Lepisosteus oculatus: one gene and its partners. The protein of the gene in region 2 purifies or fractionates together with the protein of the main gene of each other region. This does not show direct contact. Links are inferred from orthologs where the notes say so. Each region holds a gene or a part of one and is shown on either strand. Other genes may lie near its edges.

Region 1 (7,220 bases), on a different chromosome or scaffold from region 2:
GACGATGACTCTCGGTACTATAAATGTAGACAAACTGGCTGACGTGAAGCCAAGCCTGTGAGGCCAAGTTAACACAACGTTGCAGTGCTGTATGGTACGGAAGAACGTTTTCAGGAACAATAGTCTCCAAATTGAGAAATTCGTTAAACACCTGCAAGTGGAATGACATGTTGGATTGCAAAAACGAAATACTATTATTAGCTTGAGATAAAATTAAACATTTTCAATTACAAACCCATCTAACTCTCCACAAAAGTAATGACAACACCAGTACTGTGCACTGGGAAACACAAGAAACCTATCCAGTGCCATTTCTGAAAGCGGTTTGAACCAAATAAAAATGTCTACCATTCGCAGAAGGCTAGGATTATTACACCAAGAGAAAATACTCATCACCAGTCTCTGTCAATCACACTTCCGACTGGACATATGAGCAAAAAACACTTGCTTTCCTGTGCATGTTTGCTTAACCTTGGACTTATCTGATTTCAGTCATTCTATTGGAAAATATTTGTTAAAAATCCCAAGACATTTTCCACTTCAGATCAGACCTACACAACACCCTTAGTGCTGTCAGGGGTTCATGTTCCCTCAAAGGCAGTGACGCATTCAACCCAGCAACATTCTTCAGAATGAACAGTGAAACACCAACCAGAGGTACTTCTTTACACAAAGGAACAGAAATTATCAATCCCAAAGAGTAAGCAAATCAACGGCTAGAATGCAGAAACCCTAAAGGTTTAATCACTAAAGCAATTTGAGGAGAAAGAAAGCACTTTATAAAGTAGTAAAAATGGAACAGGTTCCAGTTCAAGTCTCAGAGGAATCAGTCCAGGAAATGGAGAGAGCCGATACATCACTATTTGACTCCGGTATTTACAGAGAAAAAGGGTTAGATCTTCTGTAATATATCAGAGTTCTTTGAACAATCAGCAGTAATGGATAGAGATCATAAAATTTACATGAGTGGAAAGCTGTTGACAAAGTTCCTCATTAAAGTTAATTCTAATAACACAGACAACAGACACTCAAAGTAATGCATGCCCTTGGGTTCAGAACAGGTTAATGGACAGAAACAATTAGTACAGAAAAAAAGTACGACTGCTCAGACTGGCATTGGTACAGATGTAATTAGTGGAGTAGCATAAGAATATGTATCAGGATTGCCGCTCTCCCTAATTTTTAACCAGTGATCTAGGTTCCGGTATAGTTCACAGTCAAATGCACAGATGATATCACAATACAAGGATTAGCAAACACTGTAGAAACTGCAAAGGAATGGTAAAGAGACTTTAGCCAAATTTAACTGCAACGTGTAGTGGGAATCTGGAATAAGCTGCCCAGCATTGCTGTCAGAGCCAATAAGAGCCTCTGGCTTCTTTCAAGACACAGCTGAATGAGATCCTCCAGTCAGAAGAGGAGGTAGATTTGTGTTCTTCACACAAATGGTGATGGGTGTCTGCCACAAGCTGCCCAGACATTTTGTTGAAACTGATACCCTGGGATTCTCGCAAGAAATGGACAGATGACCTTCGCTTAGTTAGATGGGCCAAATGGCCTCCTCTTCTCTGTGACCTTCCTAAGGTTCCAATCAGACTCTATATGTAATAGGAATGTAGTGATACGAGTGCCAAAGCCCACAGTCGCAACGCTGGGGAGGCACAGCAGAGCCGATCCGAACCGAACGGGCCTGGGAGACCCAGACAAGGGGGCGAGAGAGACGCGGGGGTACTCACATCCTGCCGACGCCCTCGTACATGCGCGTGTCCGCGGGCAGGGTGGTGACCTCCGTGTCCGTCAGGTGGGCGTGTTTCTTCATGCGGCTCAGCTGCTCGATCTGCAGGTCCGCCAGCTTGACCTTCTGCTGGGTGTCGATCACCTTCGCCTGCAGCTCGGCAAAAGCCTGCGGGTCACACCGCATCACGTCACACCGCGGCCACTCGCAGGCAGGAGGTCTGCCGTCGTCCCGCGTGGCGAGGCACTGCGAGCCGGGTTCGGAGGCACTGTGAGCCGGGTTCAGAGCTGCTGCCTTGCAGGGCTGTATGTTCTCCCCGGATTCGTGTGGGCTTCCTCCCACAGTTCAGAGACATGCTGGAAGGTTAGCTGGCTCCTAGGACAGCTGGCCTTGGTGTGAGTGTGTGTGTGTGTGTGTATCAGTGTGTGACTGGCATCCCGTCCAGGGTGTATCGCACTTTGCACCCACTGTTTGCCGGGATAGGCTCCAGCATCCCCGAAAACACCGAGCTGGACAGAGTGGTTAGAAAATGGATGGATGTACAATTATGCACTGAGTGCAGAATAATGAGATTGTAATAATTAAACAGAATAAGCATTATTTAACAAACGGGCAGGTGTAGCTGCTACAAGGGTAATTCAGATCTCCCACGTTATAGAAGCATAGTTTTTTAGTCGATGTTGGTAACGACCGCGATGAGATGCAACACATACGCGGGGTGTCGGTTCTTGGCCTGACTCACGTTTCGTGTAATCACGACAACCTGAACACTGGGCATCCTGCTGCTGGGACTCTACTAATCTACACTATCGCGGAGGAAATAATCGTTCTATTTCCGAAAGCAGAATGACATCTTAAAACACTTAACAAAGGAGATGTTTGGCTATATTAAAAACAAACTGACGCACGCTGCACGAACCAGATAATACGACGTTAATTTAAAAATCTAATAATGGTAAAATCACGCAATTAAAAGACAAAACAGGTATGACTTTAAGCTAGCTAGCCTTTTTCAAACTCAGAGGTCCTGTACACGCTTTCTCTCCACCACACGCTTTGTGACAGGATTAAAGGGCTGTCTCCCCGTTTTAAAACCATCAAAAGGCTACGACATGAGAGATAAAGTTACCAGAAACTAAAATGCTGCCGTTGAGAATGACCAACCGTTATCGTATAAGAATGAAATAAAACATTTTACCTTTTTCAACTCGAGATCTACGGGGGCTGCCATGTTGGAGAGGTGAACGCATGCGCAGTGAGTCCTTATCGGTTGCTAGGCTGCATGCCGGTAGCTCGAGTCATTACGTCATGCAGAGACGGTCTTACCTCGACCGCGTGTTAAAACGCCTTGTTACAGTCGTACATAGTAAAAGTACGTTTCATAACAGTGTGGCTTAGCTTTATTTTGCATAAAATGGAGCAATTCAGTGTGAACGTCTATATCTGAATAATTCATAATGCTTAGAAAGTGCATTCATATTAGTAGCATGACAGGTTGGACGAAATTGGTTTTGAGACATTGACATGAAGTGCAGCCATCCTTGATCTGCTGTCTCTGACTCCTGCCGGTCCCAGCCTGTGCTGGCGAGCTCTGCCCTGCTCCCTCACGGCCTGCTTTTCTAAAATTACACACGCCAAATTTAGACCTCAGTCTTTAGATTTAAAATGAATCTAAATATAGATAAGTACTATATTATGGTCTCAATTTCCCCGTGTCTGTATCGCCTCTGTTCCCTTGAATATGTCCCGGTTGTTTGAGAAACTAGGTCAATAAGACCATCTTCCTTAATAGGCAACCATGCAACCTGAGAGAGAAGCAGTTATCGACCAAATGAAGCACATCCATTTCACGATCCCCATCATAATATCCCGGTGTGTTCTGGAAGATGGAAACCTCCCTGTAGGATATCATATAAAGTATAAATTTGTACCTATTCCTAAAGATGGGGAAGACGGTTAAGTCATGAATCTGGAGGTGAGAGAGTATTCAGGTTTATGCCCCAAACTGTCTATAAAATTCCATCTCGTCCATCCAGTTTCTCACAGCTTTATCCTACACTGTGCAGGAGGAGAGCCAGCGCCCATCCCAGCAAGCAGCAGACTGAGGGCAGAGCTTTCCCTGGACAGTGCGACAGCCCTTCGCACTCTATGAAATGTTTTAATATTCTAATGAATCCCCGGTTTCGTCGATCATGGTAAAACTGCCTTCAGAAAGGCGTGATTTGATGGTTTGACAACCCCCGCCTGACAGCGCTCTCTGGGACCAGGGCTGGACGCCCCTGCTGTAGGCCTCCGGTCAGCCACGCTGACCACGCTGACTCCGCTGAAGCCAGGCAGAGCTGCGCCGGCTAGAAGACGGCCCGCGGGCCGGCCCGGCTCAGAGCTGACACCGGGAGCGTGCGGACACACCGCCCTTGACAGGACTGTCTGGGACGGAGCAGTGCCCGGCCCAGCGTATCGACTGGACACTGAACATCTGACCAATGCAGTTCAAAGTCGAGAAACGGTTAAAAGTCTCTAGTCAAGTGTGTCCATGGCAGCAATCGCAAAATTGGAGTGGAATGTGATCCAGGTTGTATAACTGGTGCAATCAGGAGAAGCCCCTGCTCCTTGTGGAAAATGTCTTGACCAGTGCTCAAGAAAACACACGTGATTGGAGGCTTCCTAATACTGAATCTTCAAATGTAGCTGTAGATTTTTCCAGTCATCCGAATGTGAAGTGAACGCCTGTGTTCTGGATCCCAGTGGGTTACTGCTGACCGCACACAGGTCCAACACGAGCTCCTGAGGCACCTCTGTCGGTCCTCAGCCTTCGCTGCTGTCGTCTGTCTCGCGGTGGCAGTGCGCGTGGTTTCGGCAGCTCGCCCTCCACCTGTGTGGGCTGGGTGACGCAGCCCCCCTCCAGCTGGGCCGGCCCCCCCCACTCTGGGCCGGTGCCGAGGTCGCGGGCCCGGGAGCAGGGTGCAGGTGTGGGGAGACCACAGGCCTTGGCCAAGCTGCAGATCTGTCATGTTTCCACTCAAGGAAGAAAGAAGAGCCTGAAGAAACACACGGACTGGGAGCTGCTATCTTTCAGCAAATAATAAAGGGATATTCGGCGGTTCAGGCAAGGAGTGATACAACCGACGAAGCAAGCCAAATGAATGTTAAGGGATTGCGTCATTAATTTCCTAGTGTTGGGGGTTAACTCTCCTGGCTGAGGAAGTGACATCACTGGCGGAGGCCCAGAGCTGCTGTCACGACCCCCCTCACTTGCGAGGGATGAACCAGCGAGGCAGCTGCAGGAGTGGAGTTGTGGCGCAGGGAGGAGTGTAGAAAAGATGGGCGCAGAGTTGTGCACAGGAGCCAGGTTTTTTTACTGAAGAGCAAGTTTACAGTTTGACCTCATCCTGAAATTCTAACAGCCCCGTTAGTAACAGCATGTGTGACAAGACACTTATTGGGCACACTTCAAACTTTTACCATGGCTTGACTGTGTTTTACTACTCTGGACCATGGGAATGCTGTGGTTTAAGAATAGTATTTCCATGGAGTATTTACTCACATGCACCACAGTAAATCCACGAGGCAAATGGGAAAATCCTATGGTAAATATATTGCAGTAAACTCTCAGATGGGCACCTATTCCATTCTTGTGCTGAGACCCTTTTCATTGATGGGAAGAGGACAAGACCCCTAAGGGCCACTGTAAATAAAGTAATCCTCAGATTAAATAGCTACGGAAAACTATATGAATAAGATCGGCCTGTTTAACCAAAGACCATAAGTCTTTTTTTAAAGTCTGCCTTTTCCAGTTCAGCTGAGTTATTAATGTCCCAGCTGAGACAATAGCCAAGCCTTAACCGGGCTCGACAGGAAATATCTCCAGTCAAAATCAAAATGCGTCGCTCCTCTTTCATGTCAGGAAATGGTGGTTTGCTCTGTTTTGAAACCCAGGATGCTCACATTGTGCTGTGCTGTATTTTCTGCAGCACTTGCATGGTGTGGCAAGAAGTTTATGAGAAATCAATGTGACAAAAAACACCAGCTTCCAGTTTGTGACATCAGTGGTGTACAACAGGATGCCCAGAAGTGAAGGAATACAGGCCATCTCAAGAGTCCTTCCTGACAGCTGCGCTCATGCTCAGTGCAGAATTCAACCACAGAGCATCCTGGGACTGTTTGGTTTATTCCTGCTGCTTCTGAGACCATGAGCTGGTCCTGTCTGCAGACTCACTTGCATGAGTGAAATGTGAATTCTCCTGTCGTCGTCAGGTTGAATTCACATTGAAGCTGTGTGGCTGGAAGTGAAGGAAGCTGTGTTTTGCATCAGAGAATTGGGAAAGGCTTCACAGCAACTGGATTACAAAAGGACCGTTTTGTGGCGTTACACAAGCCGGGCGAGGACCAGCCTGATCCTACCAACCGCTCCCTTATGTTCAACACGGTTTTGCAATAATTTGCTGAGTTTATATACAATGTCTTAGTATTTCACTCCAGCAATCTCCTTTACTGCATTTCATGCAGAAAGTACCCAGCCATTTACATTGGGGAAACTGGACTGGCCAGCCATTTCAGGAAACCTGTCAGAGCAGTTGGATCCAGAGACCTGCCTAAGCCCAGAGCCCCACAGTCTGCTTCCCCATGCTCATGAGCACTGACCATTCCACACACCCCTGGCCATGAGCACTGACCACTCCACCCCCACCTGGACGTGAGCACTGACCACTCCACCTCCACTGGACATGAGCACTGACCACTCCACCCCCACCTGGACGTGAGCACTGACCACTCCACCTCCACTGGACATGAGCACTGACCACTCCACACACCCCTGGCCATGAGCACTGACCACTCCACCCCCACCTGGACGTGAGCACTGACCACTCCACCTCCACTGGACATGAGCACTGACCACTCCACCCCCACCTGGCCATGAGCACTGACCACTCCACCCCCACCTGGACGTGAGCACTGACCACTCCACCTCCACTGGACATGAGCACTGACCACTCCACCCCCACCTGGACGTGAGCACTGACCACTCCACCTCCACTGGACATGAGCACTGACCACTCCACACACCCCTGGCCATGAGCACTGACCACTCCACCCCCACCTGGACGTGAGCACTGACCACTCCACCTCCACTGGACATGAGCACTGACCACTCCACCCCCACCTGGACGTGAGCACTGACCACTCCACCTCCACTGGACATGAGCACTGACCACTCCACACACCCCTGGCCATGAGCACTGACCACTCCACCCCCACCTGGACGTGAGCACTGACCACTCCACCTCCACTGGACATGAGCACTGACCACTCCACCCCCACCTGGACGTGAGCACTGACCACTCCACCTCCACTGGACATGAGCACTGACCACTCCACCCCCACCTGGACGTGAGCACTGACCACTCCACCTCCACTGGACGTGAGCACTGACCACTCCACCTCCACTGGACGTGAGCACTGACCACTCCACCCCCACCTGGACGTG
Region 2 (7,308 bases):
AAGCTGATTAACATACGTTTCTGTTAGTTTAGCTCCTCCCGGTCACCCCAGAGGAGACGCAGAGCTACCCCCGGTTGCCCCAAAAGGGGACGCAGTGCTACCCCTGGTCGCCCCAAAAGGGGACGCAGTGCTCCCCCTGGTCGCCCCAAAAGGGGACGCAGTGCTCCCCCTGGTCGCCCCAAAAGGGGATGCAGTGCTCCCCCTGGTCAACCTAAAGTTAACACTACAATATCTCTGCTCGTCAGGGTTGGAATAACCGTCAACTTAACGCAATTTACTAATGAGACGTAGCAGTATGGATTAAATACTTACGCCAAGCCACAAACAGACTTTATCTGTGGGGGGTACCAAGGCCTTGCAATACAGGTTATCAGCCAGCAGGAAGTGGGTTTCCAAAGGATCTGTGGTGTCCTAAGGCAGGTGGAAATAAAATCACAGTAAGCAGCTGCAAAACACACAAGAGGGGTGGAAAAGAAATTAGACCCGGTGGGCAGTGACCCCATGCGGCCGAGATGTACCTTTTTCTTCTGCATGTGTTTTAAAATTTCGAGTGTTTGCTTAATTTGGGGGATCTGGCTTTTCAATCTGAAAAGAGACAAAAACAGGAAAGCTGGGAGGTTAATGGGCAAGACCGTCTTCCATCACACCGGGACATCTGGAGGACGAGTCTCCGGACGCAGGACCGGGAGCCGTTTGACGGCGTTCCTTTACAAAGCCCTGAAAAAAATGGCTCTCTCTTCATGCGCCACTACATTCCGCGAGCTCTGTTCACGGCAGCAAACGCTTTCTACTCCCAGAAAACTCCCCGTTTCTCAAAACAGGCAGTTTTTTTAAATCCCACTTAATGATGAACAGCTTCAGGCTCCTCCTAATCACTTAACCTCAAGACTGACTGGAGCAACACAACCCTCTCCTGCGAGTATTCAGACCTACGGTTTAGCAAGACCTATAACCCCCATCACCCCCACGGGCGACGGGCGGCAGAGACGCCCTCGGGCTCACCTCAGCTTCTTCTGCGCCAGGTTGAGCTCCATGAACTTGTACTTCTGATACTGCTCATCCAGCTTCCTCAGCACAGCGTCAGCCGTCTCATTGCCAGGCTGCTTCATGAAGGCGTCCACATCCTCCTGCGAGAGAGAGGATCTGTGAAATCACCCCTCCTGATAGTTCATCGGGCAACTTTACTCGGCCGACTCTTTTATCCAAAGCATCATGTTTCTACCCTTTATTTACCACTGGGTATTTCACTGGGGCAGTCTGAGTGATGTACTTTGCTCAGGTGTACAGCAGCCAGTGCCCCTCCCATATATATGCCATATATGGACATCAGGGCGGTTACTCCTCCCACTTCCTGTCACCATGGTAACCCGTTGGCACACTAACCCTCATGTTTAAAACCACAAAGGCAAAATCTCTTCCATACTGGGTAACAGGAACTGAACTGTTTCGTTATCGGCTTTGTGAAATTGCTCGGGAATGCATTGATAAAGCCGGGCTTTCTGCTACATCAAGACTCCGGCAGCTATTTAATCCCGAGTGTAGGCCCGTCATGGCAGACGTGCCCTACTCTAGTAGAACAAGACTCCACTTGAACAAGACTCTTGTTCAAAGAGGCACTAGTGAACAAGAGCCCTCTGCCCAGGCGCAGTTCTAGTACAATACTGCAGGCTCCTTCCTGATTTGCTCTTGAATCCTGAACTGAATTCAGAACTAAGAGAACAAGAGGCAGATGGAGCTGGGACCAGGAAGGCAGCTGATCAGAAAGGTCAGGGATTTAATTAATTGTGCCGACATCGCCCCCAAGAACCACATTCAGGAAGACTCGGGTTCCAACCCTGGGCTCAGAAGCTTAACTGTTTTGAAGATGATACTAGCTCTGGGTCTGCGTCAGTCCCATTAATCAGCCCGGAAGACGTCTTTATTCGTCGTGTCTCCCAATATAAAAGCAGTCGGAGGCTTATCATGGCTCTGTAGAGTCTCCACTCAGGAGACAGTTGTTCTTGTGCCTGAACATGTTAAAAAAAAACGGTTTCACTAAGAAAATAATCTATGTAATGTTGGGCCAAAACGCTTTTTTTTCCCATAATTTGCCCTGTAAAAAAATCCAGATGACATTTACACAGAAACAACTCAGCAACGGGTCGAAAATTACACCAGTACGGGCAATAGCACAGAAACATAACGATAAAGACAAAGGGGTATGGAAGATGCCATCGCCACTTTTGGTAATGAACTATTGCAACATATGATTTGCTCTGATTTCTTAACCGGACCTCAAACGGACATTTCGTTTACGGTTCTCGGTCACGCCATCTAACGACAATGGAGCTAGTGAGGTTCTCGCTGTGGAGCAGACACGGGTCCACCTCCTTCTCCGCAAACGACAAGCGCGTCTCCACGACCCGAGGTCCTAACCCAGCACGCAGTGACTCATCTGCACCGCGCTGGAGCCCGCGGCCGGAAGGGCTCCTGAACTGAAATATTGACGCTGTCAAACCCGCACCCCAGCCGAACTGCTAAAAAATATATATATTTTCAATTAAATAATACAAAATACGCCGATCCAGCCCCCCTGATTATCTTATAATGTTGGTCGGAACTTGAACGTCCGAAGATTGTAGTTGAGACAAGACATTCAATCGACTTGCTTCCACGGTACAGCGGTAACCATTGGATACCATAAAATCTATGCTCTGGGTGTGGAGGTATGCTTAAAAATGCATTTGAGCTCTAAGGGTGCGGGCTGCTCAATGCCCCATTGTCGTCCGCCCGCAAGCGAGACCACCCTTTTCCTTGTAGTCTCAGATCCCGGTGCTTAGCTTTCATAGTCGAAATGTCTCCAACTGCCTTTTAAGGATGTGGATGGCTAGCTACTGTAATATCGGATTCTCCTTTCTGCACGGAGTTCTCCCAGCCCTTCATCATCAATAATTCTCCACATGTAAAAAGGCACAACAGACGTTGCCTTTGGCCTCTTACCACAAATACAGCCTCCGGGATGCCTAAGTGTTTTCGCTTGCCTGCTGCCACAGCATTGCTGCTCTCCGTGGTCGCCGCCATCTTGGACAGATTTCCCCTCACGCCATGCAGCGGCGCTGACGTTGTGCGTAGCGAACGTGGACCCCACCCATCACCTTTCCCCGCCTCCTCAGCCGCAACTGCAGCTCTGATTGGACGCCGGGGAGAACGGCTCGAGCGGGTAGGACCTATCGTAGAGAAACGCAGCCGGATATGGGCGAGTCCCCCGCAAGGCTTTCTGGAGAGTGTAGTTTAATCTTTCGTTTCTTTGTCCAAGGTGGGGGAACAAGTTAGGGCGGGGGGGATCCTGGTGTTGTAAATTTCAGGCTACTCCTGAAATAATGCTAATTTATTTTCGGGAGGAAATCGTTTAAAACACCGTCATCGTGAAATCTGACACTAAAAGCAAGGCTTTGAATTTAAACAGCTGAGCAGTTATCACAATCAAAATATGCAACCTAGCCTTTATGACAAGTAGTTAATCCCATGGATCCATTCATTTTCTAACTGCTTTAGGGGTGTCATGCCTATCCCAGCAAGCAACAGGCACAAGGCAGGATACACCCTGGACTGGACACCAGTCCATCATAGGGCAGACACACAGACACACACACCAGGGTCAGTTTTCCCAGAACAGAACAGAAAGTTAACCAACCAGCATGTCTTTCGATTGTGGAAGGAAACCAGAGAACCCAGAGCGCACCCATGTAATCATGGGGAGAACATACAAACTCCACACAGACAGCACCCTAGGATTTGAACCCAGGCCCCCTGCACTGCCAGGCTGCAATGCTGCCCCATCCAGCTGATGAATATTTATTTTTCCAAGTAGAGAAAAACTGTTTTAAATAAAAAATGATTAATCTGCCGCCGATTTTGATCGTGCGGCTTAGTTCAAAAACAGATGTTCCCTGGATCCTGGGTTGAGTTTCAGACGAGGGCACCTTCTGGGTGGAGTGTGCATGTCTTCGCATGTTCCCACGGGTTTCCTCTCGCTCTGCAAAGACATATGTGAGCTACGTTCATTATATTTGTTGTCCCCGCTGTGTGTGCGCGCACTGCAGTGGATTAGCGCCCCGTCCGGGGTGCGGGTGCCGTCCTGCGCCCTGTTTTCCCAGAATGGGCTCCCGGTTGGCGTGACCCTCGCCAGGAACAAGCAGCTTCCTGACAACGGGAGGCAGGAAACTCAGTGGCCAAGAAAATCTTGAGAGTGAAACAGCATATTATAAACATGCAATATATAAACAGAATATCGGGTGGAGTGGTGGCTCTGTGGCTCAGGATCTGCGCCTGTGACTGGAAAGTTGCCGGTTCAAATCCTGCAGCTGGCAGAGGAATCCTACTCCGTTGGGCCCCTGAGCAAGGCCCTTAACCCTAACTGCTCCAGGGGTGCTGTACAATGGCTGACCATGTGCTTTGACCCCCTGCTTCTCTCCCTGTCTGTGTCTCATGGAGAGCAAGCTGGGGTATGTGAAAAGATGAACTCCTAATGCAAGAAATTGTATATGGCCAATAAAGTGATCTTATCTGATATTAATAATAATCCTCATCATTAGTGTAATCCTTACAGTTCTATAGTGCTTTTTTGCAAAGTACGTTACAGGTAACGGGGAATCCCACTAACACCAGCAGTGAACAGAATCACCTGGACGATGTGACAGCAGCCATCATGATCATTTCTCAGTGGGGAGGAGAGCAGAGTGATGAAGCCAGTTCATGGGGATTATTAGGAGGCCGTGAGTGGTTAAGACCAGGGGAATGGCTGTTTGTCCTATAGGATCATGCTAGTTATCCCTGGGATCTAACTTCCTAATGTTATTTGTTTTCCCAATTCGTTTATGCATTTATATTCAAACTTTTCTTCTTGCATTATCTTAATTTATGAATTGATCTATAAGTAAGCTCATGGATATCAACCCCAGAAACTCAAGTCTTCTGCCACTTTGAGCACAGACAGCTGGCTCAAACGTAGCCGTCTCCTGAAGTGCTGTTCATCTTTTCTTTCCTTTTGTAGTTTTTTACAGCAAAAAAAAACAACAACCTGACTACAGGCTCAACACGCAGCATTGAAACAAAGCTGTTGTAAAGCTGCACGTTTCCTCTCAGGGAAAAGTGGGCTTTATCCTGATGGGGTTCCCGATCTCGGCTACTTTTCAAGGACATGAAGAAAAACCAAAACAAGACAAGACAGACAACACCCACACGGGGAGAAACAGTTAATCAAATATCCAGTTTATTCAAATATATAGAAGGCTTTCTCAAATAAAACTTAATGAAACGAAATGAAACGCAACCGGAATCCTGCTAACGGCAGTGCCCCGGCCGGGCCCTGGCAGAGGAACGCCGAGCCGTTGCGTGGCTGTCAGGGCTACACGCGCGGACAAGGAAGTGCTGTGTTACTGGGGGGGATGGCCGGGAGCAGGCTGGTCAGCATCAGCCTGTGCTCTGCAGAGAGCGGTGCTGTCAGGCACAGAGGCTGTGAGATTGTCCCACCAGTTAAACTCTCATTAAAGGCCCTTCAGCGCATTTCCCCTTATATTTACAGGGAGATCTGCTCCTCCCCCCCAAAAAAGCACACTGAGACGTTAGTTCCTTAAATCTTCCAACTTAGTGATTTCCTCAACCTGACCGGTTACCCTTATGAAACGGAGCGCCCTCCTCATGGTAAAACAAAATCACAGCTTCTTCTCTTATGAGAGTGCTCATGGGTGTGCAGGTCGTTTGAAAGAGACCTGACGGTAATCACAGGCTGGAGAGGAAGTATCTCAGTGGATCTGATTTAAAGGGTGCTCATGCGGTCCACGGCACAGGGATGCTGGAACTTTCAGCTGGAAGCTGGGAAGGTGGAGCTACGACTGCCCCCCCGGTCCTGTGGGAACGGAGCCTGGCCCGTCCTGTGCTAATGGGTCCATCACAGCCCGGGGGGCAGGGGGCAGGGGAATTCGCTGTTCGCGGGGGGAGGGGGAGATATCAGGAGAGGGACCGGTTTCGGGTCCTCTCAGACCGCGACAACAGACACAGTAAAATACACAAGGCAGGTAGGGCAAGCAAAAGTGCATCAACGAAGTATCGATTAAATTATCACAGCGCTCCTACGGTTTGCCGTAGGTCACGCACAAAGAGGTCCAGAGTGGTCTGTTAGCTTCCTTTCACGAAGACTCTTCTCTGCTGAGACAATCGCTATCAGTGAGTGCGGGCAAAGCAAGCCAAGAACCAGGAAGGGCGCCCAAGACAGACATTTCCCACTAAGAACAGACAAGATTCTTCTTTAGCCTTTGCATGCACGGGCTGCCCCCGCATAAAGGCTGTTTCTTTAGGAATTTACTACCTTGTTTTAATCACAAAGCATGAAACCGTTTAAAGAAGTTGAATGATATGGGACTAGGGCACCGGGACCCCCAGGCTACGGTCCCCAGCCCAGTCTCCTGCGCTCAGTCCTGAAGGCAGTCCAAGTGGTTCCCCTTCACCCAGTAACAGATCTGTGCAAACTTGAGAGGGGTGAACCGGACGGCGACGTTGAAGTCTCGGTTCTCCCCGTTGATCTCCAGCCACTGGTGTCCCGAGAAGACTCCGATCACCTTCCTCTCCCAGCGCTCCAGCGCGGCGTCCCAGACGCGGCCGTACACCCCCGAGCCGCTGGCGCCGGGCCGCGCGTCGCAGTGCTGGTAGATGAGGTCGTTGGACTCGTCCTCCACGGGGCAGAACCGGTACACCAGCTCTCCGGGCCGGTCGCTGTCGAACCCGGAGAAGTGGATCCGCTTGCCCGCGAGGTCCTGGGCGGAAGGGGCCACGGAGAGACGCATGTAGGGGCGCCGGTGGGGGGCGCGCAGCTCCAGGAGGGCGTAGTCGAAGTCCATGCTGGCCTCCTGGGGTCCCTGGATCCAGCCTTTCGGAACCCGGGTTCGCTTGACCCTCACCCAGCGCACCAGCGGCTTCCTCTCGGGCTGGGACCCGGGCGGGTGGCGCTCGGTTTTGGTGCTGTTCGAAGGGGGCATCAGAAAGCCCACTCTCAGCTTGCGGGCCCCCTTGACGTAATCCTTCCCATCATGCACGCAGTGGGCGGCGGTCAGCACATGGCGCTCCGACACCAGGACCCCGGTGCAGCCCGTGGAGATGCGCACGGCGGTGGAGAAGGGGTAGTCCAGCAGGAAGTTGTTGCCGCGGATATTGAAGCGGCCGTCGGCCCCGTAGATCTGACGCTTGCGCCTCCCGCGCGCAGCGGGGCGCCACCTCCTGGGGGGAGGCTGAATTGCGGGGCCGGGCTCCTCCTCTTCCTTGTCCTCCAGATCC
Region 3 (7,891 bases), on a different chromosome or scaffold from region 2:
TCCCACCGTCCAAAGACATGATGGTGGATTTCCCGGGATTCTGGTGAAAACTGGGCCCGGTGTTTAATGTGTGATGGACTGGTGTCTCGTCCAGGGTGTAGCCCGCCTTCTGCCCACTCTTTGCCGGGACAGGCCCCGGCTCCGCACCGCGACCCCGAACTGGAGGGGCCGTCAGGAAACGGGTGGACGGTGCCGGGCCCCGGCGCCCTCCCTCCCGGCCGGGCGCCGGCCTCACCTGCTCCTTGTTGCTCTCCAGCGCCGGCAGCACCTCCCTCACCGTCCGCTCCACCAGCACGCCGCCCACCAGGCGGAAGCACTTCCGCGCCGGGTCCACCTCGCGCAGGGTCTCGATCACCAGGCTGGCGGGACACGCACAAGCACAGGGCAGCTCAGGCCAGGCTGCAGGCACAGCGCCCCCTCCTGGACCAGGACTGGACACCCCCGCTGCAGACACACTGACCCCTCCTGGACCAGGACTGGACACCCCCGCTGCAGACACACTGACCCCTCCTGGACCAGGACTGGACACCCCCGCTGCAGACACACTGACCCCTCCTGGACCAGGACCGGACACCCCCGCTGCAGACACAGCGCCCCCTCCTGGACCAGGACCGGACACCCCCGCTGCAGACACACTGACCCCTCCTGGACCAGGACCGGACAGCCCTGCTCCAGACACACTGACCCCCCCTGGACCAGGACCGGACACCCCTGCTCTAGACACACTGACCCCTCCTGGACCAGGACCGGACAGGCCCGCTGCAGACACACTGACCCCCTCCTGGACCAGGACTGGACAGCCCTGCTGCAGACACACTGACCCCTCCTGGACCAGGACCGGACACCCCCGCTGCAGACACACTGACCCTTCCTGGACCAGGACCGGACACCCCCGCTGCAGACACACTGACCCCTCCTGGACCAGGACCGGACACCCCCGCTGCAGACACACTGACCCCTCCTGCACCAGGACCGGACACCCCCGCTGCAGTCACACTGACCCCTCCAGGACCAGGACTGGACAGCCCTGCTGCAGACACACTGACCCCTCCTGGACCAGGACTGGACACCCCTGCTGCAGACACACTGACCCTTCCTGGACCAGGACTGGACACCCCTGCTGCAGACACAGTGCCCCCTCCTGGACCAGGACTGGACACCCCCGCTGCAGACACACTGACCCCTCCTGGACCAGGACTGGACAGCCCTGCTGCAGACACACTGACCCCTCCTGGACCAGGACTGGACAGCCCTGCTGCAGACACACTGACCCCTCCTGGACCAGGACTGGACAGCCCTGCTGCAGACACACAGCCCTTGTCTATGTAGATGAGGTGTAGAGTATGTGTATAGAGTCCATGTACTTCTATATATCCTAGGGCACTCTTGAGCTGGGAGGCACGGTGGTGCAGTGCTCAGGGTTGCTGTCTCACAACTCTGGGGTTCTGGGTTCTATTCTGGACTAGAGGAGCTGTCTGTGTGGAGTTTGCATGCTCTCTCCGCATTCGCATTGGGTCTCCTCCCATGCTGGTGGGGGAACTGGCTTCTGGGAAAACTGGCCCTGTTGTGAGTGTCCTGCCCTGGACTGATGTCCCATCCAGGGTGTATCCTGGTGCATCCTGCTTGCTGGGATAGACTCCAGCTCCCCAGGGACCCTGTACTAGATAAAGCGGTCAGAAGATGGCCGGATATGTATTCAGCGCAGTAACAGGTGGAACACTGTGTCCACCTGCAGAGCCGAACCCCTGGGAATGAGGATCTGCACAGGGTCCGGACGGGAGCAGGCGGCCAGCAGACGGTACCTGTGCTCGTTGATTTCCATCTCCAGCTCCGCTGCCTTGGACGCCATGCTGCGCTGCTCCTGTCTCATCCTCTGGAACCCGGCCACCACCTGACAGAGGGAGACACGTCAACAGACTGGACAGGTCCACACACTGCACTGAGAGAGAGGGGTTCATACAGACTGGACACTCCAGTCCATTAACACTGCACTGAGAGAGAGAGAGGGGTTCATACAGACACACTGACTGGACACTCCAGTACATTAACACTGCACTGAGAGAGAGAGGGGTTCATACAGACACACTGACTGGACACTCCAGTACATGAACACTGCACTGAGAGAGAGGGGTTCATACAGACACACTGACTGGACACTCCAGTACATGAACACTGCACTGAGAGAGAGGGGTTCATACAGACTCACTGACTGGACACTCCAGTACATTAACACTGCACTGAGAGAGAGAGGGGTTCATACAGACACACTGACTGGACACTCCAGTACACTAACACTGCACTGAGAGAGAGAGGGGTTCATACACACACACTGACTGGACACTCCAGTACATTAACACTGCACTGAGAGAGAGAGGGGTTCATACACACACACTGACTGGACACTCCAGTACATTAACACTGCACTGAGAGAGAGGGGTTCATACAGACACACTGACTGGACACTCCAGTACATGAACACTGCACTGAGAGAGAGGGGTTCATACAGACACACTGACTGGACACTCCAGTACATTAACACTGCACTGAGAGAGAGGGGTTCATACAGACACACTGACTGGACACTCCAGTACGTTTCCCTTACCCGTTAAGCAAAACGGGAGCTATTATTAGTGAGGATACAATCATCATATTTTTGTGCCACTAGAAGTAATAAAAATACGGTAGCCAGTGACTGTTCCGACAAATTCGTCGTATTTCGTGAAAACGCCGCGTCCAAACCCGGCTCATCGCCGTACTGTACACGGTAACGGTCCGGTTATCAACACGGGCGTTTCAGTCCACAATAAAAACCGTGCGCCCCCTGCGACAGGGGGGGGTCTCGTCTGCCGTGCGGTAGCTCATCAGAGCCCGTGTCGCGTCCCGTCGTGTCACCGCACTGCAGAGATTGCATTACTGCTGGTGTTTCCAGAAATCGGGGCTGCTCGGGTTGCGGCGCTGGGCTCAGGCGAGCGTGCGATCAGCCGCCGCATGCCCACACCTCCTCTGCCGCCCCCTCCCCTTCCCAAACCCGGTCCGCCTGGAGAACGGGGCTCCCCGCCGGCCTCGGGCGTTACCTGCTCGGCCGTGGGGCCGGACTGCTTCCCTCCGCCGCTGTTGCTTTTACCACCGGCCGTGCCGCCGCTGCTGGCGCTGCTCGCCGCCATCTTGACTAGGGGAACGGCCGTGCTCCCAGGACCCCTCCTTACTACCCGGGGCTGCCCCGCCAGCTGCCTGCTGGACACCAACGCGAGAAGCGCCGAGACGTAGCCTACCCGTGCGACAACCACGCAAATTCTTTTAATGATAATTTAAAAAAACAAACAAACAATTAGGTCTGAGGGAAATTCACCTTTAATGGAAAACAGGTAATTGTAATTCATCGAAAACAGCCATTGTCAACATGCCTAGGAAATTTCGTTTTAAGATATTTAGCTGCAGGGGGGAAAAATGTCATTTGTTGTCATTATCGTGTAAAGAAGCATTTTCGCTGTATTTGAAATGTGATCTTGTGTACTTCTGAACAGGTATTATAGCGATAATAGACGCATTAAGTCCGTTAATCGTGGAGATCCTCAGGTGGAAACGCATGACCTGTTTATATAAAGTTAGACTAACAGGGTATGCATACTGCTGTAGATCTGTAACGCCAGAATGAACAATATAGGCTCTTTCTTTTCATGTCAACCCGTGATCAATTTCTTCCTGAACACAGGTGTAAGCCTAAAACTCAGAGTGCATGTCCTGGACGGTTGTTTCTAACTTTGTTTAATAAAGTAAATCATCTGATACCCAAGGTAATCATTCTGGTTGCAGTTCGGAGAAACGAAATAAAAAAAACGCACACAAAACAGTTCAAAGTGCGCCTTCACCAGCGGCCACACTCTATTGGTCACAATACTGGGGCTGTTCTGTTAAATTACAACAGGAGGAGCGACGACCTTTTCTGCCTCGATTGAGGTTCCTGCTCTGGGCTCCGTCCATGCTGCGACGCGGGACGCTGTGGAGTCGAGCGAGCTACGCCTGGAGCACAGCCCTCCGATACACGAGTTTCACGTCTCGGAGAGCGCGCCCAGGCGACCAGGAGAGGTAAACACGCCCCGTGGACCGGCGGGGTATTTAATGGCCGCCGTACTGTACGTGAAAAGCCCGCTTTGTTTGAAAATCTTATCCCGTTCCTCTTGGTCAGGTTTGGGTGTGGTGCCGGTGGGGGCAAAGTGGATCAGTGGTTTGCACTGCTGCTGCATGGATACATTTTCGCACCTGGGGTGCTGTCTGTGTGGAGTTTGCATGTTCTCCCCAGGAGAAACTGGCCCCGGTGTGTGTGTGTGTGTCCCATCCAGGGTGGACCCCACCTTGCGCCCGTTGCTTGCTGGGATAGGCTCCGGTTCCCCCCTGTACTGGATACAGTGGTGAGAGAAGGGCTGGGTAGAGCCCAGGTCTCTGCTGTAAAGGGCACTTGTCTGGCTCTCTGTCCCAACGGGTTGACCTCAGTTTATACTCCAGACCGTCTTCAAACCCAGCCCCTTCAAACTCGGGCTCCTCAGAGCATAAGAGAGGTTACAAACTAGGCCTGCAGTGGTGGTCCTGATCCATACAGGTCACCCCCCCTCATCGCCGGCAAACTTGTTTAAGTGACTGATCAGTGCAGCGAGTCAGAATTGTGATGTTATTTATTGTGTCATCTCTACACTTCTACAGCTGTCCTCTGGACCCCCACTCAGAGCGCTTTACAGCTCATGGGGATCCCCTCCACCCCCCAGCAGTGTGCAGCCCCACCTGGGTGAGGCACAGTCCGCTCCCCCCACCCCAGCTCTCAGCGTGATGGAGCCAGTTCAGAGAGGGGTGCCTGAACTGATCCCGGTCCCCCCTCCTGGGACTGAGGCTGGTCCGTCCGGAAGTCCGTTGGGCTTAAGCTGCAGCTGAGGCTGACTCCTGTCCAGTCCCGGGGAGGGGGAAGACTAACACAGGCGCGCTCTCCCCCTCCCTCCTTCCCAGGATGAGCTCCCGCAAGCCGGTGGCCGCGCTGTGCCAGGTCACCTCCACGCCGGACAAGGAGGCCAACTTCGCCAGCTGCGAGGGGCTGGTGGAGCGGGCGCGCGAGGGCGGGGCCTGCATGGCCTTCCTGCCCGAGGGCTTCGACTTCATCGGCTCGGGCCGCGAGGAGACGCTGGAGCTGGCGGAGGCGCTGGAGGGCGAGACGGTCGGGCGCTACGCGGCCCTGGCCAGGTCCGTCCACCGGGGGGCGGCCTGGGGGCTCGTTACTCGCTCAGGCTCTGTTCCCTGCTCTTACTCACATGGAGGAGGAGGAGGAGGAGGAGGGTGGCATCTTTCCCAGTAGAACCAGGAAATAAACCGTAGAGTCCAGGAGAAGCACAAGAGCTGGGTGCCCCCCGTCGTCCAGGGCCTGTCTGACGTCCCTCCCAATTCTCCCTCTCAGGAAACTGGGGATCTGGCTGTCCCTGGGGGGGTTCCACGAGCGAGGGGAGGACTGGGAGAGGGATCGCCGGATCTACAACAGCCACGTGATCCTGGATGACCAGGGTACGCAGCCCCCCACCCCGTCCTGTCCTGTCCTGTCCTGTCCTGTCCTGTCGTGCTGTTCCATCCACCCACCCATTCTCCCACCACTTCTTCCAGCTCACCGCCGAAGTGAAGCAGGAGCCTATCCCAGCAGGCAGCGGGCGAAAGGCGGGGTACACCCTGGAAGGGATACCAGTCCATCACAGGGCAAAACACACGCATGCACGCACGCTCACACTCACACCTGGGTCGATTTCCCAGAAGCCAAGTAACCCACTGGCGTGTCTTTGGACTGTGGGAGGAAACCCACGCAATCACAGGAGAACATGCAGACTCCACACAGACAGCACCCCTGGTCCGGAATTTAATGTGGGGCCCTTAGCACAGCGAGGCATCATGTTGACCACTGCTGTTTTTACATTGGTCATAATACCTGCTGTCTGTGGCTGAAAAAAGTCAGAAAATTCTACAATGATCAAATAATTCATCATTCATAATTCATTCAGGGCATGGTGACATGACCCCTGTCACTCCACGGCCACACTCATCCTCTCTTTCTCCCAGGTCACATTGCAGCCGTCTACAGGAAGTGCCACCTGTTTGACGTGGAGCTGACAGGAAGGGGCGTGTCCCTGAAAGAGAGCTCCTTCACCATCCCGGGACCCTGCATCGTCCCCCCCGTCCAGACGCCCCTCGGCAAGGTTACGATTCTTCTCTTCTCTCTTTCACCGTTATCTCCAGCACCGGGGCAGCCGAAGACCACGGGCTGTTAATGGGCTGCCGGTGCAGAATGAACACTGTGCGTCTCCCAGGTGGGGCTGCTGGTGCAGAATGAACACTGTGCGTCTCCCAGGTGGGGCTGCAGGTGCAGAATGGCCACTGTGCGTCTCCCAGGTGGGGCTGCTGGTGCAGAATGGAGGCTGTGCGTCTCCCAGTTGGGGCTGCTGGTGCATAATGAACACTGTGCATCTCCCAGGTGGGGCAACAATTCAGTGGAGGATGATGTGGGTCTCCCCCTTTATGTGAAATGCTCTGCTATACCAGTACAAATCCAGTCTGCTATTACTGATATCACCAGAACTTTTAATTTGACTGAGTCAGGTAAGGTCTTCAGCTGTAATTAATGATCGCATCCAGCTGTTTTGTTTTCCAGCTGGGACTGGGCGTGTGTTATGACCTGCGCTTCCCTGAGTTCTCATTGGCCCTCGTGCGGAAGGGGGCGGAGATTCTAACCTATCCTTCAGCCTTCACCGTGGCAACGGGGACCGCCCACTGGGAGGTGAGGAAGTGACCTCACGGACGCGATGGAGAGGAGGACGGGGTGGGCGGGGCCGACGTGTGTACGGCAATCTTTCAGTGAGTTTTAGGACTGCTGTCGGTAGCAGTGTCTCTGCTGGGCTTGAGCAGGGAGATCCACAGACACGGACTTGTGTCGTCCCTGGTGTTTTCGGCACAGAGAGATGGCCTGGGTGCCCAATGTGAGAAGCCCACACAAGCAGTCATGCACACATTCTTAAGTCATGGGTGTCAAACCCAGTTCCCTACTCCACATTAACCCTGAGTGTCGTTGGGCGACTTGGACACATGCAGGACGATCCTACAGGCCAAAGCCTAGTGAGGCCCTGTTGTTGGTAACTGACCTTAACTTGACCTGGGAAACCAAATCTAATCGCCTCTCGGGCGTTAGAAAGTAGTTTAAAATTGAAGAAATGATTAACTTGTCTGGGGCAATGAGAGAGACTTCATTGACACCCGAGATCTTCATCATTCCTCAGTCGAACCCGAGCCCCTCCAGGCTGTTCTGGTTTGTACGCAGCCCGGCCCGGGGTGACTTCATCGCTGCAGTTGGCGGGAGTGTGGGTGAAGGTGATCGAAGGAGAGGGGTCCCCGTCTCTGAGGCCTGTTCCTCTGCGTGTGCCCCAGGTCCTGCTGCGTGCCCGGGCGATCGAGACGCAGTGCTTCGTGCTGGCCGCCGCCCAGGTGGGGCGCCACCACGCCCGCCGCGCCTCCTTCGGCCACGCCCTGGCGCTGGGGCCCTGGGGCGAGGTGCTGGGGGCCTGCGGGGCCACGGAGCCCGGGCTGGCGCTGGTGGAGGTCGACCTGCAGCGCCTGCGGGAGGTGAGGAGGGACATGCCACTGCAGCAGCACCGGCGGGGGGAGCAGTTCTACAGCCAGGACTGAACCACTGGACACCTGCGGCGGGGGGAGCTATTCAACTTGTTCTCCTATTCTGTGTGCAGCCCTGGGGGGGGCAGCACAGAGTCCCACTGCTTCTGCTTGCAGCCTCTGACCTTAATGACCTAATTGAACATTAAGCAATTAATTTATGGTCAGTTTCTTCAGTTTGTAATCTGTACCGAACTGAAAAGCT
Region 4 (7,735 bases), on a different chromosome or scaffold from region 2:
TCACAGGTACTGGCCAAGAACAAGCCAAGAAGGCAAATAACCCTCTTTTAAAAGACAGAAGTTAAAATTACAGTCTGCAATGAAGAGAGAGAAAGGAAAGATGTTGAAAGACAGAAGAAAGCAGGACACTGAGCCCCAGAGACACAGGGTGGCACAGTAGGACACTGAGCCCCAGAGACAGACTGTCACATCAGGACACTGAGCCCCAGCAGGATACTGAGCCCCAGAGACACAGGGTGGCACAGTAGGACACTGAGCCCCAGTAGGACACTGAGCCCCAGAGACAGACTGTCACATCAGGACACTGAGCCCCAGAGACAAACTGTCACATCAGGACACTGAGCCCCAGCAGGACACTGAGCCCCAGAGACACAGGGTGGCACAGTAGGACACTGAGCCCCAGAGACAAACAGAGCACAGGACTGTGAGAAAGAACTGTACCTCCTTGCAGGCCTGGAATTTCTACCAGAAATCTGCACGTCATTTCAGTTATAGTCTACTTAAAGGAAGTGTTAAAACCACTCGGATAATTAGAGAGAAAACACAAGGAGGCTAAAGAAGGTTTATGTCCCATGCAGCTATTTACTGACCACATCAACTAATATTTTATGGTATTTTAACAATTTTGGCCAGTATTGATACAGTCTAGTGCATCTGATGAAAAAGCAAGATCGGCACTTAAATTCACCAGTATCTACTGAAACACACCATCTCAGGACAAACTTAATCTATTACTGTTTTTAGTCCAGCTAAAACCTCAATTACCTAACTGATACAATTAAGTGTTTAAAAGTCAGTTGGCTGTGATTTCCAGGGATTATTCGGGTACTTCTGAAACCTGCAGGACCAGGACTGCCTAAACCAGTCACAGCTGATACATCATATCTCAGTGACTCACTGTCAGGGGCTTCTTGTCATTATCAAGTTTCTCTTTCCACATCTACAAATTTAAAAGGCCACTTTTTATCCTACCATATACAGATCCATCAGGATTACATGTGATCATAAAATAGCTTAAAGTTCAGTAGAGTACCATACAGTTGTTTTCACGTAAAGATTGAAGAACATGGTGTAATAAGTGAAAAACAATCTAAACTGTCTTTTTACAGCAGTGTAGCTATTTTAGATTTTTATATTACAATAAAGTGCACTCTAGAACACAATTAAGCCAACAACCTCCACACACAGGACAGAAGACGGGTACTGTCAAGGAAATTTAACTAATGAGCATTGATGTATAAAGCTCTCAGTGTAATGCTGTAGTGCTTAGAAACAGTTGAATTTGTAACAGAGGATTTTGTAATTTGTAACACTTCAGTAGCAGTGATTGTGACCAGGATAAGAAAAGCATATTAGAAACGAGTAATGTGCCTTCTTATGACAATAAACATATCAGTTCAGAGAGGTCAGAGAGAAGACTACAGGGCCAGATTAGCTCAGTCAAACTGGGCTGTAGAAGGCAGGTCTCTACTAACACTTGGCTTCACTTTCTCAATCTGCCAGGATTGTACGAGGACAAACACACACAGGACTTACATTTCTCCAGTGATATACTCCAGCCGCTTCCCCACTGTAGCCTTCGCTTCATCCAGGTCCTGTTTGACTAGAACTGGGCCAATCAGCTTGTAGACAGTGTTCTGAGCCTCCAGCAAGTCCAGCTCCTGCCCCCACAAAGCCAGAGCAGAAGATAAACCAGTTAGCCCTCAGAGCCACATGGGAGGACCTGCAACTCACCCTTAGTAAAGGCTTCAGCCTCACACCACAAAGGAGACGCACATCTGAAGAAGCGACAAGCAGCAGGGAATAAAACTCTCTCTGATGCTGACGAACCAGCAACAGAACCAGAAAGTCAAAACAGAGGATCAAAGAGGTCTGAAGGGAGAGTGGCGCCTCACCTCCTTCACGATGTTGTTCTCCGTCAGCTGGGCTTCCAGCTTCTGTCTCGCCGACATGCTTTTACTCAGATCTGCAAAGAAACAGTTTTAATATTTAGGCCTCCTATTTCCCAAGCAGTCGCAGCTCTCAGGGAACGTGAGTAACATAGAGGCCAGTGTGACAGTCACATTAACGCACCACTACTCTCTACCTATCGTCTTCTGCGTCAGCCCACAGGCTTTTACTGGAACAGGCAGAGCACACTCCTTCACAGCCACAGATCAGCAGTTCTTCATACATCAGTAATGACACTTTAAAAGCACAAATATTGCCTTAAACACTCTTAGCCCTCCATCCATCTCCTAATCGCTTCATCCAGTTCAGGGCCACACAGGAGCCACAGTCTCTCCCGGCTAGCAACAGGCTCAGGGCTGGGTACCCCAGACGGGACCCCAGTCCATCCCAGGAGACACACAGACACACACACTCGCACCAGGGCCAGTTTTCCCAGAAGCTGATCAACCCACCAGCACAGTCTGGACTGTGGGAGGAAACCCACTCAAACACTGAGAGAACATATAAGCTCCACACAAACAGCACCCCAGGTCCCAGTACCATGAGGCAGCAGTGCCGCCCCCTTTATTACTGCACGATTCATTATCATCACCTAGAGCTGAGGCAGAAACCCCAGGCTCCTTCACATTAAAGCGGCGTTATGTTAACACGAAGAAGGACACACAAGCGATTGGGACGCTCCCCGTGAGCTGACCTTTAACAATTCAACAAAGTCGCTACCGGAGTGGTCACCCACTTAAAGCACTGGTCATTTCACATTCAGCTTCGAGTTTTGTGAGTCTCCAGTATCAGACGTGTCCAGCGACACGATGACCAGAACAGTGCGTCCGTAGCCACTATCAGCTCAAAATACAGAATGCGATAGACACCACTTTGTATCTAGGAGAACTGCAATAATAAATTCAACTTTGCCTTTCTGGGTCTGTTGATATTTTTCGAGCTCAGTTTGAAGTCTCTTCTGGATTGCTTCCGCCATCGCTGGTCCAACACCAGGTTTTAGGGTACCAAAAGCGGACGGAATAATATTCCGATAAAAATGCCAAATATTTTTTTTAATTATTGGGCTCGGCAGCCTTTTTACCACCTCGCCGCACCACCTGCCTAGCTTCACAGTCTGAGACAGGAAGAGCTATGGCGTCGCACCGGATATGACGCTACCACGGCACTGACTTGTGATGGTAAAAGACGCCATGTTGGTAAGGGACAGAGAAATAAGAAAAAAGGTTGGGTTGGTTTTGGATAGACTTGGAAGACTTTCTATTTAAGCATCTAACTGAATGTTAGAGTTAAGGAGTTTGATATAATTCGCAAGATGTAAATAACATGTATTTATCATTAATCTGTTATTAATAATGGGTAAATATATACACTCAACTGTCGCTTCTCCTTCCTTTGATATTTATAAGATGGAAATGCGATATTCCATTAAAAAGTTTAAATACACTAATGCAAAAATGCATTGCAAAGATACATTTTGTATTCAGGTTTGTAATTACCTCTGGCAGTGTATTTGTTTCACTACCGCTTTTTCCTTCTCTCATTTGTATTATTTGATGTTCAAACGTTTGAAAAAATAAGAAAAACATTATCGTTTACCGAAAAGCAGGATCGTTTGCATAAAATGCGTAATATAAGAATTACGAACACGTTTAGATGTATAGATTCATTAACTATTTTCCCTAACTCATTTTGTATATAAGACGTATACATGCAAGTACACAGTAGCATGCGCACTCGTGTTTTGTAAATGACCCATCCTGCCGGCTGTAAGAGAGCTACAAGCAGGAACGAGCTGGCGCTGAGTGTTTCCCTTCCTTCTACTCATTCAGCACTGGACAAGAAATCAACACCCTGTCGCCACTGCAACACAACTAAAAAGCATCATCTACTGTCATTCGATAATTTCATGCACTTTGCAAATTACTGTTTTTTAGGATCAGAAATAGCCTCAGCGCCCTCCTTTAAAAGGTTTTGTATCCCAAAACCAGAACCGCAGGAGCCTCTCGCTGTATGTGTTGGGTGAAATATAGAGACACTGAGTCTGGTGAGTCAGCAGTTATGGTTACAGCCTCCAGCTTCTGGAACACAATTCTATCAATTAGATTCTCATCTAATTTATAACTCCTCAAACTAAAGTGAAATCATTGCTTCATGCAAATCAGTCTTTGCAATCATGAAACTTCTTCCTCCTTATCCAACATCATGCTCTCCATCTTGATCAGTTCTAATGTACTTCTTGAAACTTTCAATGTATTTCTTGTCAGTGCTTATATACACTTTACCTATTGAAATATCTATCATACACTATGTCTTGAAATGTCTTTTCTGCATCTTGTATCTCAAGGGCCGTGTCCTGCCCAGGGACCACAGCTGCAAATTTGCTTTCTAGCAGACACTGGTGCAGATGAAGAGCTGTGCGCTGTCCTCCTCTTCAGCTCCTTCTTCTCCAGCACTTCACCCAAAAACAAGGCACGTTTGGAATGAAACCATTAGTATGACACACTCTCAGTCACCACAGGTATCTTACCTGTCAGCTGCAGGTCCACTGTCACTAGAGAACTATTTAGGGATTTCAAACCTTCACTGAATGCGTTTTCCAGAAAAGGCCATTCCTTCTTTCCAAATTACCCTTTTTTTGGTTTGAGTCACTTCAATTCAGGGGTGGAAATACAGATCTTTATTTGCACAACAATTCTCATCTCTTCTGTAAAACATCAGGATTTGTGTAGCAAACTGGAATTGTTGCTCATTTGAATTTTCTCCCTTTTACAAACAGGACTGGCTGCTGTGCATATGAATGAACTTGTGTACTCTCGTCACAGAGCAACATGACAAGACAATTGAATACTGGCAACATTCTGTGAGAATTAGAGCACTTTCTGCACAGAACTTCAGTAATGTAGCCATTTATAATAGTTTGAAAGCAGACACTTGAAATGAACAAACCACCCATAACTGTGATCAGTTACATTACATTCCGTCTCAAACCACAATGTAGTGCTGCCTGCCTCAATCCCAGATTCTAATAATAGCACAAAGACAAAGGACTGCAGCATCAGAGTGGACTTTATTACAGCTCATCTGTGGCAGAAAACTGCCCCAGGTCAGGAGGAGAGGTCTGACCACTGGAGAAACGGGTGGAATAGTCTGTGTGGATGAAGCCACAGTGTCCACAGGGCCCAGTCCCTCGCTGGCTCACTGTTTCTTCTTCTGCACGTGGGCACAGTCATACTTCCCACGGACGACCTTGAGCTTGACCCCGGGCAGGTCCTGCGTGCGCCCACCCTCCACCAGCACGATGTTGTGCTCCTGCAGGTTGTGCCCCTCCCCGGGGATGAAGCACACCACCTCCCGCCCGTTCGACAGACGCACGCGGGCACACTTCCGGTTGGCCGAGTTGGGCTTCTTGGGCTTGCGAATCAGGGTCTTCAGCACCACGCCCTTCAGCTGCGGGCGGCCGAAGGTGGGGCTGACGCGGGGCGGCTCGGGGCGCGGCCGGCCCTGGCGGTGCATCTGATTGAGAGTGGCCATCCCACGCAGAGGGGCCAGGGGCCAGCTGGCCACACCGCCTGCCCCGTGCACACCTGCAGGACGGAGAAAGCGAGGAACAGCATGAGAGAGGGAACGGGCCGGTCAAGACCTGTCTCAGACACTCTTCTCCATCGCCTCTACCCAAGATGTACCAAGTATGTCGCTTCATACTTCTCTACCGGGTCACCGCAGAACCGTATAAGTACAGCAGAACCTTCAGTTACAGCACCCTAGGCCCCGGATGCTGCTGCAGAGCTGGGACGGACAGGGGACACCTGTATCAGCGCCCCTTGGCAGACGAGGTGGTACAGACAGCATGCATGGGTTAGGTCAGGATTTCTCCTGTGTGTGAAATTCTTTTAAATGACTTATTAAAATCAAAATGGTTGTAGCATGTAAATGCTAGCGGTTCACAAATTAAAACCACACCTATTTTGTGCACAGAAAGATTTTTTTTACCATTTTCAATAATTATATGATTCAAACACAACTGCAAACCATTCAAATACTTTGTAGTTTTGTTTCATTAAGCACCATTTCACCATTTGTTTCATAATGTTATTCCAACATTATACTGAGCAATTCATTTAAAAATTAAATTTTACCCTATTATCAGTTTCTCAGCCAATCTGCAGCTTTGCTTGAGTCACCACAGAACTGCCAAAGCTTTTATGTTCTAATAGGTTTGTTTCTATGTGATGTTTGTGATTTTCACACAGTGCTCAAACGTCAAACACATAATCAGGTGCACATATACCCTTTTTCTCAGGTGCTTCACTCACATACTCCTGCAGTTTACTGCTCATTCTGATTGTCTTTTCCCTGTAAGGAGCTCCCGGCAAGAACGCGCAACAGGCCCCAATCCCAAGGCCTGCTACAGTCACTGTGCTTGAACTGGCACCAGCAGGTTGGCAGGACTGGCCCAGGACACTCACCCCAGAGCAGCGCTGACACCACTGGCCGCAGATTGGAGAGCAAAGCCATCCCTGTGCTGCGGGACTCCTGGGGAGAGAACAGAAGCAAGGCGCCGTGAGGTGTCATCAGCACCAAGGCACCTTCCTGGCACATTTCAACTAACGAGAGAAGAAGCGACTCCTCCGATAGTCAAATACACGTCACAGGCATTGGCACCATAACTCAAGTCAGCTTCCTGTTACACTGTGATGTTTTAAGCTCTGCAAAATCTAGCACAAATTGCCAGGAGCAAGGGAGAAAAAATAAAAATTTAACTTTGATGTCACACTTCTATTGTCTACTCACTCCTACTAATGTCTTAGACAAAATCCCCAAGTAACAAACTTAAAAATCTCCAGCCTCTTTGTGTGCCTACTGCACAAAAGCCTCTTGTAGTTTGTAAAACCTGGAGCGGATCAGACTGCTGCGCACTGGGAATCTGACTGACAGCACTGTCACACCTGGAGCGGATCAGACTGCTGCACACTGGGAGTCTGACAGCACTGTCACACCTGGAGCGGATCAGACTGCTGCACACTGGGAGTCTGACTGACAGCACTGTCACACCTGGAGCGGATCAGACTGCTGCGCACTGGGAGTCTGACAGCACTGTCACACCTGGAGCGGATCAGACTGCTGCACACTGGGAGTCTGACTGACAGCACTGTCACACCTGGAGCGGATCAGACTGCTGCACACTGGGAGTCTGACAGCATTGTCACACCTGGAGCAGATCAGACTGCTGCACACTGGGAGTCTGACAGCACTGTCACACCTGGAGCGGATCAGACTGCTGCGCACTGGGAGTCTGACAGTACTGTCACACCTGGAGCGGATCAGACTGCTGCCCACTGGGAATCTGACAGTACTGTCACACCTGGAGCAGATCAGACTGCTGCGCACTGGGAGTCTGACTGACAGCACTGTCACACCTGGAGCGGATCAGACTGCTGCGCACTGGGAGTCTGACAGTACTGTCACACCTGGAGCGGATCAGACTGCTGCGCACTGGGAGTCTGACTGACAGCACTGTCACACCTGGAGCGGATCAGACTGCTGCTGACTGGGAGTCTGACAGTACTGTCACACCTGGAGCGGATCAGACTGCTGCGCACTGGGAGTCTGACTGACAGCACTGTCACACCTGGAGCGGATCAGACTGCTGCACACTGGGAGTCTGACTGACAGCACTGTCACACCTGGAGCGGATCAGACTGCTGCACACTGGGAGTCTGACAGCACTGTCACACCTGGAGCAGATCAGACTGCTGTGCACTGGGAGTCTGACAGCACTGTCACA

What was found.
Region 1: the proteins of vbp1 (region 2) and pfdn1 purify together in Homo sapiens (affinity purification with mass spectrometry; 4 studies listed by BioGRID and IntAct, counting the BioPlex papers as one, with this or other methods). This does not show direct contact. The link is inferred for Lepisosteus oculatus from reciprocal best matches to the Homo sapiens genes VBP1 and PFDN1.
Region 3: the proteins of vbp1 (region 2) and pfdn2 fractionate together in Homo sapiens (co-fractionation; 8 studies listed by BioGRID and IntAct, counting the BioPlex papers as one, with this or other methods). This does not show direct contact. The link is inferred for Lepisosteus oculatus from reciprocal best matches to the Homo sapiens genes VBP1 and PFDN2.
Region 4: the proteins of vbp1 (region 2) and pfdn6 purify together in Homo sapiens (affinity purification with mass spectrometry; 6 studies listed by BioGRID and IntAct, counting the BioPlex papers as one, with this or other methods). This does not show direct contact. The link is inferred for Lepisosteus oculatus from reciprocal best matches to the Homo sapiens genes VBP1 and PFDN6.

Annotation. Positions count from the first base shown.
Region 1 is NC_090706.1:41,109,045-41,116,264, reverse strand, and holds the start of pfdn1 (prefoldin subunit 1), read right to left. Parts: upstream 3,032-7,220; 5' UTR 2,967-3,031; coding exon 2,934-2,966; intron 1,904-2,933; coding exon 1,737-1,903; intron 1-1,736. UniProt on the Homo sapiens protein: Binds specifically to cytosolic chaperonin (c-CPN) and transfers target proteins to it. Binds to nascent polypeptide chain and promotes folding in an environment in which there are many competing pathways for nonnative proteins.
Region 2 is NC_090703.1:47,078,404-47,085,711, reverse strand, and holds the start of vbp1 (prefoldin subunit 3), read right to left. Parts: upstream 3,091-7,308; 5' UTR 3,061-3,090; coding exon 2,980-3,060; intron 1,128-2,979; coding exon 1,003-1,127; intron 586-1,002; coding exon 519-585; intron 412-518; coding exon 313-411; intron 1-312. Other genes in the region: prss23 (serine protease 23), read right to left, coding at 6,450-7,308. UniProt on the Homo sapiens protein: Binds specifically to cytosolic chaperonin (c-CPN) and transfers target proteins to it. Binds to nascent polypeptide chain and promotes folding in an environment in which there are many competing pathways for nonnative proteins.
Region 3 is NC_090713.1:22,363,999-22,371,889, reverse strand, and holds the start of pfdn2 (prefoldin subunit 2), read right to left. Parts: upstream 3,204-7,891; 5' UTR 3,165-3,203; coding exon 3,075-3,164; intron 1,892-3,074; coding exon 1,803-1,891; intron 360-1,802; coding exon 236-359; intron 1-235. Other genes in the region: nit1 (deaminated glutathione amidase), read left to right, coding at 3,980-4,086, 4,996-5,226, 5,438-5,541, 6,085-6,221, 6,674-6,799, 7,444-7,701. UniProt on the Homo sapiens protein: Binds specifically to cytosolic chaperonin (c-CPN) and transfers target proteins to it. Binds to nascent polypeptide chain and promotes folding in an environment in which there are many competing pathways for nonnative proteins.
Region 4 is NC_090713.1:23,463,224-23,470,958, reverse strand, and holds the start of pfdn6 (prefoldin subunit 6), read right to left. Parts: upstream 3,084-7,735; 5' UTR 2,927-3,083; coding exon 2,863-2,926; intron 1,967-2,862; coding exon 1,896-1,966; intron 1,662-1,895; coding exon 1,537-1,661; intron 1-1,536. Other genes in the region: mrps12 (small ribosomal subunit protein uS12m), read right to left, coding at 5,146-5,534, 6,417-6,465. UniProt on the Homo sapiens protein: Binds specifically to cytosolic chaperonin (c-CPN) and transfers target proteins to it. Binds to nascent polypeptide chain and promotes folding in an environment in which there are many competing pathways for nonnative proteins.